Linked DNA regions of Macaca fascicularis. The protein of the gene in region 2 purifies or fractionates together with the protein of the main gene of each other region. This does not show direct contact. Links are inferred from orthologs where the notes say so. Each region holds a gene or a part of one and is shown on either strand. Other genes may lie near its edges.

Region 1 (4,716 bases), on a different chromosome or scaffold from region 2:
ACAAAAAAATTAGCCGGGCGTGGTGGCGGGCACCTGTAGTCCCAGTTGCTGGGGAGGCTGAGGCAGGAGAATGGCGTGAACCTGGGAGGTGGAGCTTGCAGTGAGCCAAGATTACACCACTGCACTCCAGCCTGGGCGACAGAGCAAGACTCTGTCTCCAAAAAAAAAAAAAAAAAAAAGAAATCCTCCTATTTTGGCCTCCCAAAGTGGTGGGATTACAGACATGAGCCACTGGGTCTGGCCTAGTTGCTGGAGCTTCCCCTGGCCATGCAGGTCCAGGTGCTTTATTATCCTCGCCTGGCTTAGCCTTGTCTTTCCACACATTTACAAAGAGCCAATCAGTGTCCACTGTTTACCAAAATACCTGTTGGAATTTTGACTGCAATCACGTTGAATATTCATTAATTTGGATGGAACTGACCTCTTGACAATACTGAGTCCTTCTATCCATTGCTGAGTCTCTGATTTCTCCCAGCTACGTTCTGTGATTTCAGTGTAGTCATTCTGCAAACCTTTTGTTGGATTTACCCCTCAGTGCTACTTCTCAATGTGAAGTCTACTTGTCTGTTACTGGCATATAAAAATAAAACTGGGGGTCGGCCATGGTGACTCATGCATGTAATCCTGGCACTTTGGGAGGCTGAGACAGTGAGTTTGAGATTAGCCTGGATGATACAGCTAAGCCCCGTCTCTACAAAAAATGCAAAAGTGAGCTGGGTGGGGTGGCACGCACCGGCAGCTCCAGCTGCTAGGGAGGCTGAGGCAGAGGTTGCAGTGAGCTGTGATGGCACCACTGCACTCCAACCTGGGTGACAGTGAGACCATGTCTCAAAAATAATATTAATAAATAATAAAACTAATTTTTTCCATATTGCCCTTATATCCAGCAACCTTTCTAAATGAAGTTCACTTATTAATCCTAACAGTTGCTTAGTAGACACTTGGACTTTCTACATGCACAATGAGTTACAAGACACAGGCGACAAAATCAAGGCCATGGAGAGAGCGAAACCAAGTCACAGCCATGAAGAAAGACCTTGAGAAACATTCACAAGGAGGAAACAAGCGTTTCAAGAGGATATAGCATCATCTAGGTGCTCAACACCCCAAAAGAGAGACACACATCTCTATAAGGAAACAGAAAGGAGGGGGTCTGAAGCCCCAAGTGGAGAACTCTCCCCACCCTGTCCCAAAGCCAGTCCATGTGGCTGAGGAAGGCTTGGCAGTGGGAGGGCTGGTCTCCAGGGCCTGGCTTACCGGGACAGGCCCCTGGACAGCCCCCACCACAGGGGCAGCTCCCCCGCCTTGCACAGCCTTCTTGGTGGCTGGGGTCTCCTGGCTCTTGGGCTTCCTCTTCTCCCGCTTGCGGTCCCGCTCCACGAAGGTGCCTTTCATCTTGGCAATGATATCTGAGTCAGTCTTGGCGTACTGGATACGCTACCAAAACAGAGAGCAGAACGGGTTAAGAGCGTGGATTCAGAGCCCAATTGCCAAGATTCAAAACTGGACCTTTACCGGGGCCAGGTGTTGTGGCTCATGCCTGTAATCCCAGCCCTTTGGGAGACTAAAGGGAGTAGGTCACTTGAGGTCAGGAGGTGGAGACCAGTTTGGCCATTGCAGCGAAACCCCATTTCTTTGTCTCTGTCTCTCTCTCTTTTTCTTTCTTTCTTTTTTTGAGACATTGTCTTGCTCTGTCACCCAGGCTAAAGTGCAGTGATGAGATCTCAGTTCACTGCAACCTCCACCTCCCAGGTTCAAACAATTCTGCCTCAGTCTCACTACTAGCTGGGATTACAGGCGCCCACCACCATGCCCGGCTAATTTTTGTATTGTTAGTAGAGACAGGGTTTCACCATCTTGGCCAGGCTGGTCTCGAACTCCGGACCTCATGATCCATCCGCCTCAGCCTCCCAAAGTGCTGGGATTACAGGCACTAGCCACCGCGCCTGGCCGGGAAACCCCATTTGTACCAAAAATACAAAAATTAGCTGGGCATGGTGGCATGCACCTGTAGTCCCAGCTACTCAAGAGGCTGAGGCAGGAGGCAGGAGGCAGGAGAATCGCTTGAACCCGGGAGGCGAAGGTTGCAGTGAGCTGAGATCGCGCCTGTGCACTCCAGCCCAGGCGACAGAGCAAGTCACTGTCTCAAAAAACAAAACAAAACAAAAACAAAAAACAAAAAAATCAGACCTTATCAGGAGCTTACTGAGAAACACAGAAATATAAATATCTTGGCCTTAACCTCCTTGTCTGAAAAACGGGGATTATGATACCTCCCACTTCAAAGGACTGTTATGAGGACTAAATGAGTTAAAGTGCTTGGAACAGTACCTGACACACAGTAAGTAAGTGTTCAGTAGAAAGGCTGTTGGTATTTTCAAGGGAAGCTGGAACAGCAATAAACGTCAGGCCAAAAGCCCGAGGAGACAATGCTAGGAGAGGAGTGCAGTGCACGGGGATTTCCTATCACACAAGAATACACCTCAGTCTTCCAGGTTCAATCTCATTCACTTAGCTGTTTAAGAAGAACCTGCCAGGCCGGGCGCGGTGGCTCAAGCCTGTAATCCCAGCACTTTGGGAGGCCGAGACGGGCGGATCACGAGGTCAGGAGATCGAGACCATCCTGGCTAACACAGTGAAACCCCGTCTCTACTAAAAAATACAAAAAAAAAAAAAAAAAAAAACTAGCCGGGCGAGGTGGCGGGCGCCTGTAGTCCCAGCTACTCGGGAGGCTGAGGCAGGAGAATGGCATAAACCCGGGAGGCGGAGCTTGCAGTGAGCCGAGATCCGGCCACTGCGCTCCAGCCTGGGCGACAGAGCAAGACTCTGTCTCAAAAAAAAAAAAAAAAAGAAGAACCTGCCAGATGCCAGGCACAATTCGAGGCTCTGGGAATAAAGCAATGAAAAAAATAGACAAAAACCCCTCTTTCACGGTGCTTATTCAGTAGGGGAAGGTATGTTAAACATTCTTAGTGTGGCACAGTAGCTCACGCCTGTAATCCTAGCACTTTGGGAGGTTGAGGCCGGCAGATCACTGGAGCTCAGGAGTTCGAGACCAGCCTGGGCAACATGGCGAAACCCTATCTCTACTAAAAATACAAAAATCAGCGTTTCCAGGGGAGATAGCATCGTCTATCTCATCAAAAATAAATAAATAAATAAAATAAATTAAAAAAAATTTTTTTAAGATTTCTTTAAATTTATTTTTATTTTTTGAGATATAGTCCTGCTCTGTCACCCAGGCTGGAGTGCAGTGGTGCGATATTGGCTCACTGCAACCTCCGCCTCTCGGGTTCAAGCAATTCTCCTGCCTCAGCCTCCCAAGTAGCTGGGATTACAGGTGCCAGCCATCATGCCCAGCTGATTTTTGTATTTTTGTAGAGACAGGGTTTCGCCATGTTGGCCAGGCTGGTCTCGAACTCCTGACCTCAGGTAATCCACTGGCCTCAGCCTCCCAAAGTGCTGGGATTACAGGCATGAGCCACCATGTCCAGCCAAATATACATATATATACGTATTTTGAGACAGTCTCACTCTGTCACCCAGGCTGGAGAGCAGTGGCAGGATCTCGGCTCACTGCAACCTCTGCCTCCCAGGTTCAAGCAATTCTCCTTCCTCAGCCTCCCGAGTAGCTGGGACTACAGGCGCATGCTGCCACGCCCAGCTAATTTTTGTATTTTAGTAGACGGGGTTTCACAGTGTTGCCCAGGCTAGTCGCAAACTCCTGAGCTCAGGTAAACTGCCTGCCTCGGCCTCCGAAAGTGCTGGGATTACAGGCATGAGCCACCGCACTCCGCCAAAAAAATTTTTAAAGGAGGCAAGGTGCAGTGGGAGCCTGGTCCAGTCTCACCTTGGTGAATGAACCCTAATATCCCCTCCTCTAATCCAGGCCCGCCCAGTCTCCTATAACATTTCACACACCCACACAGCCTCCATACCCACAATGCTCACCATGGGCTTGTCATAGAAGGGGAAACCCTGCATGGAGCGCAGGGCGTTGGTGGCGCTGCTGACCTCCTTGAAGATGACAAAGGCCTGGCCCCTCATCTTTAGGCTCCGTGATACCAGGATATCCAGGATCTGGCCAAACTGGGAGAAGATGGCGTACAGGGACTTTTTTAGCTCTGCAGTGGGGAAAGAAAAGACCTCTGAGCTCCCCTTGTTAGAAGAAGCGCAGCCCAGATAGAAGACCATCAGCCAATTGACGGGCTACCCAGAATGCCTCGGGTCCATAATCTCTCAAGACCTAACAATCACAGAAGCGGCCAGGAACCACTCAAGCAGCCAAGTACACTCTTCTGTAAGATGTGCTTACAGAGAGCTGCTATATAACGAACATGTGCACATACATGCAAAGTGCTCAGGACAGCATCCGGTACATAGTAAACGCTCAGTAAATATGAGTGATTCTTTTCATTGCCACCAGCACCCTGACACAGGCCTGCATGACGTGGCCCTGGCAGATTTCCCCCAACTCATTCCTGCCCACATTCCACTATGCTCCTGAGTCCCCAACCACACTGGCCCCTAGGTCTGACACAACAATTCTGCCCCAGGGCCTTTGCACTGGCTGCTCCCTTTACCTGGAACATCCCTCCCCTGAGGTTTACATGGCGGCCACCTTCTAGTCACCCAAGTCTCAGAGGAAACGTTGCCACCTCTGACCACCATGTCTAAATGTCTTCCCATGTCATTCTTACTCTACTTCCTTTTCTT
Region 2 (5,164 bases):
CTGTATATGGTGAACTATAACCTAAATGGAGTTGTAAACAGACCATAGCCTACCCTTTGCCAATCACCGAGTTTTGGCCAATCAAATGGCAAACTATGCAAACCGTGTTCAAATAAGGCAAAGGCCAAGCTGTAACCGGTGTTTTTGGTTTGGTTTTTTTGTTTCGCAGGGGCTATGCTAATCTCTGTATGGTTCCAATTTTAGTATATGTGCTGCCATAGTGAGCACCAGTGTTTTTCTTTTAACACCGTTCTGGACATTTTATCTGAACATACACTGTTGTTTTTCTATCTGGCTTCTTTCACTTAGCATGATGCTTTCATGGTTCATCATTGTAGTATTCATTTATTGCAGGATAATGTTCCATTGTACTGTATAGATATACCACACTTTATCCATTTGCCAGTTAATAGACGATTGGGTTGCATCCAGTTTTTGTCTATTATGAATAATGCCGCCGTGAACATGTGAACACATGGACATGTTTGCATTTCTCTACTTACAAGTGAAGATATATAGACACAATCTTTTTTTTTTTTTTTTTTAAGGCTGTATAGCATTTCACAGCTGGTCTTCCTCTGCTTGGATGCACAGTATTTTATTTTATTTTACTTTTTTTGAGACGGAGTCTGTCTCTGTCGCCCAGGCTGGAGTGCAGTGGCTTGATCTCAGCTCACTGCAATGTCTGCCTCCTGGGTTCAAGCGATTCTCCTGCCTCAGCCTCCCGAGTAGCTGTGACTACAGGCGTGTGCCACCATGACGGCTAATTTTTTGTATTTTTAGTAGAGGTGGGGTTTCACCATGTTAGACAGGATGGTCTTGATCTGACCTCGTTGGCCCGTTGGATGCACAGTATTTTATTTAACATATTCCCTGCCGATAGACAAGTCGTTTCTACACGTGAATTTCTTTCTTCCTTTTTTTTTTTTTTTTTTTTTTTTTGAGACTGAGTCTCATTCTGTTGCCCAGGCTGGAGTGCAGTGGCACGATCTCAGCTCACTGCAATCTCTGCTTCCCAGGTTCAAGAGATTCTCCTGCCTCAGCCTCCGGAGTGGCTGAGACAACAGGTGTGTGCCACCACGCCCGGCTAATTTTTGTTTGTTTGTTTTTAGTAAAGACGGGGTTTCACCATGTTGGCCAGGCTGGTCTCGAACCCCTGACCTCAAGTGATCCGCCCGCCTCGGCTTCCCAAAGTGCTGGATTACAGGCGTGAGCTACCACGCCCAGCCTCACATGTGAATTTCTTTAAAAACACCACCAGCAAAACCCCACTATTCCCATTTTACTAAGAAAGGTGCTGAAGTCCAGAGAAGCAGAAAATGTTCTCATAATTTACGCTGAAAGCTGCGTCCTCAAGTTCCGGTTTCCCATCTCCCAGCTGCACTCCAACTGCTCGCGCAGTCCCCACAGTGTACCTGCCCGCCCAGCCGGCCCCAGCAAGCCCCAGGAAGCGGTCCGCTGAACCTCGGGCTCTTGGGTTTTCCTATGTCCCCTGGAGGTATCTGCAAACCTCTCGGCATCGCTCCACCACACCTCCCACCAGTAGGTGGCACTGTTGCCATCTCCATAACATAGACTGGCCTTCCTTGTGGTGCTCATGTTTTCCTAAGTCCCCGGGCACTTCCGGCACTCGCGGAACTTTGATGCAGCTGGATGCGCAACGTGGGGACTCAGGCGCGCCGGGCGGCAGGAGTTGCTTCCGGCCGTGTAGGTGGTCTGAATTGGGAGGCTGCGGCTAAGGGAAGATGGAGACAATACTGGAGCAGCAGCGGCGCTATCATGAGGAGAAGGAACGGCTCATGGACGTCATGGCTAAAGAGATGCTCACTAAGAAGTCCACGGTGAGTGGGGCCTGAGCAGGGGCTGCGGCAGGGGCATGGGCCTCAATCCCGTGTTTGACCTCTGAGAGCTTGCTTTGGCCCTCAGCGCCTCCCCGCACTCCGCCTCCTGCCTCCTCCGGGGCTCCCTCTCCGAGCTCCGGTCTTGGTAACCTCCTCCCGGGGTCCAGAGCCCCAGAGGCCTTTCTTCCTCAGCTGCTAAAACCTGAGCGGATAAAACCTGAGCGGGTAAGCGCCGCCCTCGGGCGGCCTTTTCTATTCCAGAACGCGAGCTAACGGCGTTTGTGTCACCGTTTGCTTTTTCAGCTCCGGGACCAGATCAATTCTGATCACCGCACTCGGGCCATGCAAGATGTGAGTGCCCAGCTGTCTGTCACTCTTTGGGTTGGCGAGGGCGGGAAAAGAGAGGGGAAGTGAAGTGCGGGGTCTCAGCATGAGCACTGGCCAAAGGTAACCGGATTGGCCAGTCGCGAGCTCTCTGCCTGGACAGATATCCACAGGCTGCCGAATGTAAGGGTGCTTCCTCAGTTCTCTGAATGGGGAACTCTTACGCATTCTTCGTTAATCGGAAAGGTGCCCCCCCTTTTTTTTTCTTTTAAGACGGAGTCTCGCTCTGTTGCCCAGGCGCGGTCTCGGCTCCCTGCAACCTCCGACTCCCGAGTTCAAGCGATTCTCCTGCCTCAGCCTCCGGAGTAGTTGGGATTACAGGCGCTCGCCACCACGCCCAGCTAATTTTTGTATTTTTTGTAGAGACGGAGATTCACCATGTTGGTCAGGCTGGTCTCGAACTCCTGACCTCGTGATCCACCTACCTCGGCCTCCCAAAGTGCTGGGATTACAGGCTTGAGCCACTGCGCCCGGCTTACACGTGTCCGTTTTACAGCATCCTGTATCCCTTGGATGTGCAAACAATAGTTATGAGGAGTCCATGACTCAGGTGCATAGCTACAATCCTTGCCTTAAAAAAAAAAAATATATATATATATATGTATGTATGTATACCGTATATTAGTATGTATGTATACCGGATATTAGTGTTTTTCTCCCAGGATACTGCTTTAAAGCATTTTGGACTACTAAACTGCATTTGTCTGGTAGTAGTTTAATTTATTACTTAAAAGAAAAACAAGATGCTATTTAAATTTTTAAACAAGGTGATGAGTAAATGGAGGTTCATTTTACTACGTTCCTTACTCTTGGGTACGTTTGAAATCTGTTTAAAATGGAATAAAAGACTTACTTGGACCTTCTGATTTTCAGGAGATGATCAGATTACAAGCCCTCAGCCCCAAAATACTCTGAAAACCAAGGATTTTATTTTTTTCCCCTTGGGTGATTATTTGGTGTCAAAATCTGACCTGCTGTCACTTGACAGGTTTACTGGCCTGAACCTGTGATAGGCTTTTTATGGTCTTTAATTTACCTCACTTAGTAAATAAGGTATAAGGTTTACTGCAGAACTGTGTGCTCCAGATTCCACTAGGACTGTTACATAATATGTGATACCTTTTCTGAACTTAAAAATTCCAAATTCTGAAACAAATCTGGGCCCAAAAGTTTTGGAGGAGGGGACTATGTACCTGTACCATCCCGAATTAGTATATTTTGACTACAAAAGAAGCCTATGTAATGTTTATTTAGCCTGTCTACTCCTCAGTCAAGCTTTTTGAAATAGTGAATATCATCTTTATCTTTGAGGATGTTAGGTGGGAGCTAGTGTTTAGCCAAAGAGGGTGAGTCTGTTACAGGGAAAGTTAGGCATCGGTGGTATGTAAAAATAGGAGCCACCCCTTAAATGTTATCATTTAGGTAATCTTCCAATCGACCTGCTTAAAAAACTAACCAGGAATCAGGGCTGTTAAAGGGCTATTGAAAAACTAACCAGCAAACAGGGCTATTAAAGGTACTAGGAAGCACAGAACTGTTAAGACCATGTCCATATCTCTTGAGATTGCCCTGGGCTTTGACTGGAGAGCCCTTGTTGTTTGCTTAGCTCTACATTTGTGCAAATTGCCTCATTCTGATGGTTTTGTATTTGCCTTTCAGAGGTATATGGAGGTCAGTGGGAACCTGAGGGATTTGTATGATGATAAGGATGGGTAAGTGACAGTCACAGCTAATCTAGGAGTTAGTGCTTCTGAGGAGCCATGGTTAGAGGACTGACTTTGTGCTCTATCTTTGAAATTTTCCTGAAATTGCAGATTACGAAAGGAGGAGCTCAATGCCATTTCAGGACCCAATGAGTTTGCTGAATTCTATAATAGACTCAAGCAAATAAAGGAATTCCACCGGAAGCACCCAAATGAGGTATGTCCTCCGAAAAGTATTTTCTCCAGACCTATCTTTAAAGCATATAAAGGAAAGTATAAAGGAAACTGGACATGTGCTATTCAAATGCACTTCAAGAAAGAACTTGCCATTTAGGTGCAAGGACCATAGTTAGCTGACATCCTACAACTGCAGTGTTTTCAGCATCTCCCTCAGCTTTGAAGCCAAGGCTGGCCGGGTGCGGTGGCTCACACCTGTAATCCCAGCACTGTGGGAGGCTGAGGTCGGCGGATCACCTGAGGTCAGGAGTTCGAGACCAGCCTGACGAACATAGTGAAACCCCATCTCTACTAAAAATGCAAAAATTAGCTAGGCATGGTGGCATGCGCCTATAATCCCAGCTACTTGGGAGGCTGAGGCAAGAGAATCACTTGAACCCGGGAGGCGGAGGTTGCAGTGAGCCGAGATTGCGCCATTGCACACCATCCTGAGGGACAAGAGTGAGACTTCATCTCAAAAAAAAGCCAAGGCCACATTTCGTGGGCAGCTCCTGGCCAGTGACTAAGCACAGTATGGGTACTAGGGCCCAGCAATTTGGTCCACTGTGAGACTCCTCTGATGAGTTATCTTTGCTCCACGGCTCCCCATTGGGTGGGTCAAGATTTTGTCCAATCTGCATTGTGGTCTAGGCTATCCTGGCCTAATCCTGCTTTCTCCTCCTTTTTGTCTTTCACAGAAATTACTCCCCCCAATAAATTATGCTCCTAACTCTGTCTTTTTTTTTTTTTTTTTTGAGATGGAATCTCACTCTGTCACCCAGGCTGGAGTGCAGTGGCACGATTTCGGCTCTCTGCAAACTCCACCTCCCGAGTTCACGCCATTCTCCTGCCTCAGCCTCCTGAGTAGCTGGGACTACAGGTGCCCGCCACCACGCCCGGCTAATTTTGTGTATTTTTTAGTAGACACAGGGTTTCACCATGTTAGCCAGGATAGTCTCGATCTGCTGACCTCATAATCCACCCACCTCGGCCTCCCAAAGTGCTGGGATTACAGGCGTG
Region 3 (4,716 bases), on a different chromosome or scaffold from region 2:
AAAAAAAAAAAAAAAGACATAGGTAAACTAGTTATAGCAGACTGTGACTGTGCTGTCCAGGCAAGAGGTGACCTGGGTGGTGGTGATAGACACAAAAAGAAGAGTCAGGTTTGTGACACTTAGAAAGTAACACAAATAGGTCTTGGTGAGAGACTGAGCAAAGGGTTAGAAAAGGTGTTAGAAACAAACTGCATGGCAAAAAATGAGGTCATGACCAGCACACTTGAATGTCTACGTCCCAGAGAAAACACCCAAAGGAAACCAGGTTGGCGGCAAGGGAAAACCCCTGTGGTTTGGACACTGATTCTGAGATGCCTCTGAGGCATCTGAGGAAGGACATCAAGGCAGCGTTCTGACAGCCAGTGTCCAAAGAGTGCACCACCAGATGCCTCTGTCACACTTCTGTGTAAGCACCCTGAGGAAACCCTGCACTCCAGGATTTGGAGGAAAGGGATTCATTGAAGTTCACAGGTATAGGAGGAAAACCTGTCTTCTCACTAGAGTCACGTCATGTTCTGAGAAGTGCGTCATTTGATGGTGATATCGATATGCAAACATGAGACGGCACTTCCGCGAGCCTAGATGGTATACCTCACAACACTCCCAGGCTAGAGGGTGCGTCCCACTGCTCCGAGGCCAAGCATGTTACTACGCCAAATACTACAGCAACCCTAACACAATACTAAGTATTTGTGCATCTAAACGTATCTAAGCATAGAAAAGGTACAGTAAAAATATGGTATAATTTTTTTTTTTTTAGATGGATTTTCGGTCTTGTTGCCCAGGCTGGGTTGCAGAGAGCGGACGCGATCTCGGCTCACTGCAACCTCCGCCTTCCGGAGATTCTCCTGCCTCAGTCTCCCAAGTAGCTGGGATTACAGGAGCCCGCCACCACGCCCGGCTAATTTTTGTACTTTTAGTAGAGACAGGATTTCACCATGTTGGCCAGGCTGGTCTTGAACTCCCGACCTCATGATCCACCCGCCTTGGTCTCCCAAAGTGCTGGGATTACAGAAGTGAGCCACTGCACTCGGGAAAATATGGTATAATCTTATAGGATCACCATCACACCCACAGTCCCCTGCTGACTGAAACACTGTTATGCTGCGTGTGACTGTACAGTTTTCACCCTCACAATAAAGAGCCACTGGAGGTTGACATCTGACCCTCTTATGAGTTTGCTTAATGGCAACAATATATCTGTCTTGTACTCCAATTCCTCCTCTATGTGGAGGGGATGGAACAACCTCAGCCCAAGGGTTGAGGAGCTAACGTTAGAGCCAGGACAGATCCACTCGCCCACAACTCATCGCCTCAGCCTGTGACTCCCAGCTAGGTTGTGGGAGTCCCTTAACTGTCCTCCCCTGCAGGAGGAGCCCAAGGTACTGGGGTCTCCCTTCCTGCCAACTTTTACCCTATGTTCTGCTGCTGAAAAGCCTAAACCAAAAACAGTGCTTGCCAAGTGGCAGGGGCTAAATAAATGAACTAACAACCCTGCTCCCTGCAAAACAGGCTTTGGGTGACAGCAGGGTCCTGGGTATGACCTGGGAAGAACACAGAGGGTTTGGGGGAGGAGAGAGCCGAATGGTGGATGAGAGACTTACACATTTTAAGCTCTGTCTCCACTTCTTGCTGTCGCCGCTCAATCTTTTCCCGTCTCTGTCAAGAGAAAGGGAAAGTAGAGAAGTAAATGCAGATAGAAGTGTCCTAGTGTCAAGGACCATTTGGAAACAGTGGCAAAACAGGGGGTCAGGAAGCAACAATGACATACTTTCCTCTCCATGCGCTCCTCTCGGGTTTCTGCACGAGTTGGAGGCGGGGCATCTCGAGGGTCCTGGGAACAAGAAGAGAGGTGACAGGGTGGGAAGGACTAGGGGAAATGGCAAGGGTCACTCACCAAAGAAATAAGCAGGTCAACCCTCCCACCCCCACCCCCTACAAAAATAAACATCCACTCACACTTCCCCTGTCACAGTGCAGGGAGGGGAGTGGCACAGATCAAAGCATGGTCTGCAGCCACGCACAGTGGCTTTCCACTTGTAATCCCAGCACTTTGGGAGGACGACACAGGAAGAATGCTTGAGCCTAGGGGTTTCAGACTAGCCTGGGAAACAGTGAAACACCATCTCTACAAAAAATTTAAAAATTAGCCAGGTGTAATGGCACACACCTATAGTCCCAGCTACTAGGGAGGCTGAGGGGGGAAGAATCTTTTGGGCACCAGAGGTTAAGGCTGCCGTGAGCCATGATTGTGACACTGCACTCCAGCCTGGGTGACAGAATAAGACCCTGTCTCAAAAACTAAGCATGGTCCATGGACCAGTACTATCCAAACTGTTGCTGGACTGTGATAAGTACAGGTAAGTACAGAAACCATGAGTAAGTGTTCAGAAACTTCTACAGTAATTTCACAGTTTGATGTCCACTGACTGTAATATAAATTTGGTCTTTTATTCTGCAGGTCTTTTTTTTTTTTTTTTTGAGACGAAGTCGTGCTCTGCTGCCCAGACTGGAGTGCAATGGTGCGATCTGAGCTCACTGCAACCTCTGCTTCCCGGGTTCAAGCGATTCTAAACCCCACTTTCCCCTCTGTGTTTCTGTGTCTCTAAAAGGAACCCAGGAACCGACTAGAATCCTTCAAGCGGTTCTCCTGCCTAAGCCTCCTGAGTACCTCGGCTTACACGCACACGACAGCATGTTGGCTAGTTTTTGCATTTTTAGTAGAGATGGGGGTTTCACCATGTTGGCCTGGCTGGTCTCGAACCCCTGTCTGAGGTCTTTCTTTAAAAAGTAATTCTATCATATATACCAAAAGCAAACAGATTGGAAATAGTATCTATCCTTCACCAAAAACAGTTTAAAAAGCACTGGTACGGGTGACATCTAGCTTAAGAATACAGTGTTTAGAAAACACATTGCTTCTCACAGCTCCAAGTATCACTTGCATTGAACAAACTGCCAGAGGATGTGATGGGAATGAGTGATGACAAGGCCCTGCTGATGAGTGCCAGTGAAGAGGACCAGGCCTGAAACAACATGAGCTGACAGAACAGGGCTCCAAAGCCCACAACTGCACACCCTCTGAGGGCCAAGGCAGTTCTTCAAGGTCTCACCAACTACACATTAAATAGGAACTGGCTGGTGGGGTGCGGTGGCTCACGCCTGTAATCCCAACACTTTGGGAGGCCGAGGCAGGCAGATCACAAGGTTAGGAGTTTGAGACCATCCCGACCAACATGGTGAAACCCCCTTTACAAAAAATACAAAAATTAGCCAGGCATGGTAGCGCATGCCTGTAATCCCAGCTACCCAGGAGGCTGAGGCAGGAGAATCCCTGGAACCCCAGGAGGCAGAGGTTGCAGTGAGCCAAGATCGTGCCACTGCACTACAGCCTGGGCAACAGAGCGATACTCCGTCTCAAAAGAAAAAAAAAAAGTACCTGGCTACCAGGCATGGTGGCTCACACCTGTAATCCCAGCACTCTGGGAGGCCAAGGAGGGTGGATCACCTGAGGCTAGGAGTTCGAAACCAGCCTGGCCAAAATGGTGAAACCCCATCTCTACTAAAAATACAAAACTAGCCAGGCGTGGTGGCGCATCCCTGTACCCCCAGCTACTTGAGAGGCTGAGGCAGGAGAACTGCTTGAATCAGAGGTTGCAGTGAGCTAAAATCACGCCACTGCACTCTAGCCTGGGCAACAGAGCAAAACTGTCTCATAAATAAATAACTAGTGGCCGGGCGCGGTGGCTCACGCCTGTAATCCCAGCACTTTGGGAGGCCGAGGCGGGCGGATCACAAGGTCAGGAGATGGAGACCACGGTGAAACCCCGTCTCTACTAAAAATTACAAAAAATTAGCCGGGCGCGGTTGTGGGCGCCTGTAGTCCCAGCTACTCGGGAGGCTGAGGCAGGAGAATGGCGTGAACCCGGGAGGCGGAGCTTGCAGTGAGCCGAGATCGCGCCACTGCACTCCAGCCTGGGCTGGGCGACAGAGCAAGACTCCGTCTCAAAAAAAAAAAAAAAAAAAAAAAAAAAAAATTAAAAAAAAAATAAATAACTAGTAACTGAGACCAGGCACGGTGGCTCACGCCTGTAATCCCAGCACTTTGGGAGGCCAAGGTGGGCGGATCACGAAGTCAGGAGATCCAGACCATCCTGGCTAACACGGTGAAACCCCGTTTCTACTAAAAATACAAAAAATTAGCCGGGCGTGGTGGCAGGCACCTGTAGTCCCAGCTACTCCGGAGGCTGAGGCAGGAGAATGGCGTGAACCCAGGAGGCGGAGCTTGCAGTGAGCTGAGATCGCACCACTGCACTCTAGCCTGGGCGACAGAGCAAGACTCCCTCTCAAATAAATAAATAAATAAATAGAAACTGGCACATGACCTGCATCATCAAAGGGCACCTACCACCGCCTGTGCCCATTAAGTTAATTTAACTGGCCAGTAACACTTCTCAAATGCGGGTTCACCAAGGGTGGCAAATCCCACTGAAGATACACCTTTCTGTTATCTATGAACTTCTGCTGTGCAACTCCCTCGCCTCCAGCTGCCCTTCCCTACGCAATGCCAGAATGTTCTTGTAACTTCTGGCTATGTGCCAGTTTTTCTCAGGTGTGCTCTGATGCACCTAGGAGAAGACCTTTGTCATCCCATTTCACAAATAAAAACACAGAGGTCCAGGAGCCTAAGTCATTCATTCCTATTTACCCCGAAGG

Evidence for each region. Proteins that work in one complex are often made in the same cells at the same time.
Region 1: the proteins of SF3A3 (region 2) and SNRPA fractionate together in Homo sapiens (co-fractionation; 4 studies listed by BioGRID and IntAct, with this or other methods). This does not show direct contact. The link is inferred for Macaca fascicularis from reciprocal best matches to the Homo sapiens genes SF3A3 and SNRPA.
Region 3: the proteins of SF3A3 (region 2) and SNRNP70 fractionate together in Homo sapiens (co-fractionation; 3 studies listed by BioGRID). This does not show direct contact. The link is inferred for Macaca fascicularis from reciprocal best matches to the Homo sapiens genes SF3A3 and SNRNP70.

What each region holds. Positions count from the first base shown.
Region 1 is NC_088393.1:47,871,466-47,876,181, reverse strand, and holds part of SNRPA (U1 small nuclear ribonucleoprotein A), read right to left. Parts: intron 4,125-4,716; coding exon 3,952-4,124; intron 1,438-3,951; coding exon 1,258-1,437; intron 1-1,257. UniProt on the Homo sapiens protein: Component of the spliceosomal U1 snRNP, which is essential for recognition of the pre-mRNA 5' splice-site and the subsequent assembly of the spliceosome. U1 snRNP is the first snRNP to interact with pre-mRNA.
Region 2 is NC_088375.1:196,924,661-196,929,824, forward strand, and holds the start of SF3A3 (splicing factor 3A subunit 3), read left to right. Parts: upstream 1-1,688; 5' UTR 1,689-1,745; coding exon 1,746-1,841; intron 1,842-2,144; coding exon 2,145-2,192; intron 2,193-3,884; coding exon 3,885-3,937; intron 3,938-4,039; coding exon 4,040-4,145; intron 4,146-5,164. UniProt on the Homo sapiens protein: Component of the 17S U2 SnRNP complex of the spliceosome, a large ribonucleoprotein complex that removes introns from transcribed pre-mRNAs.
Region 3 is NC_088393.1:57,064,838-57,069,553, reverse strand, and holds part of SNRNP70 (U1 small nuclear ribonucleoprotein 70 kDa), read right to left. Parts: intron 1,835-4,716; coding exon 1,772-1,834; intron 1,660-1,771; coding exon 1,605-1,659; intron 1-1,604. UniProt on the Homo sapiens protein: Component of the spliceosomal U1 snRNP, which is essential for recognition of the pre-mRNA 5' splice-site and the subsequent assembly of the spliceosome. SNRNP70 binds to the loop I region of U1-snRNA.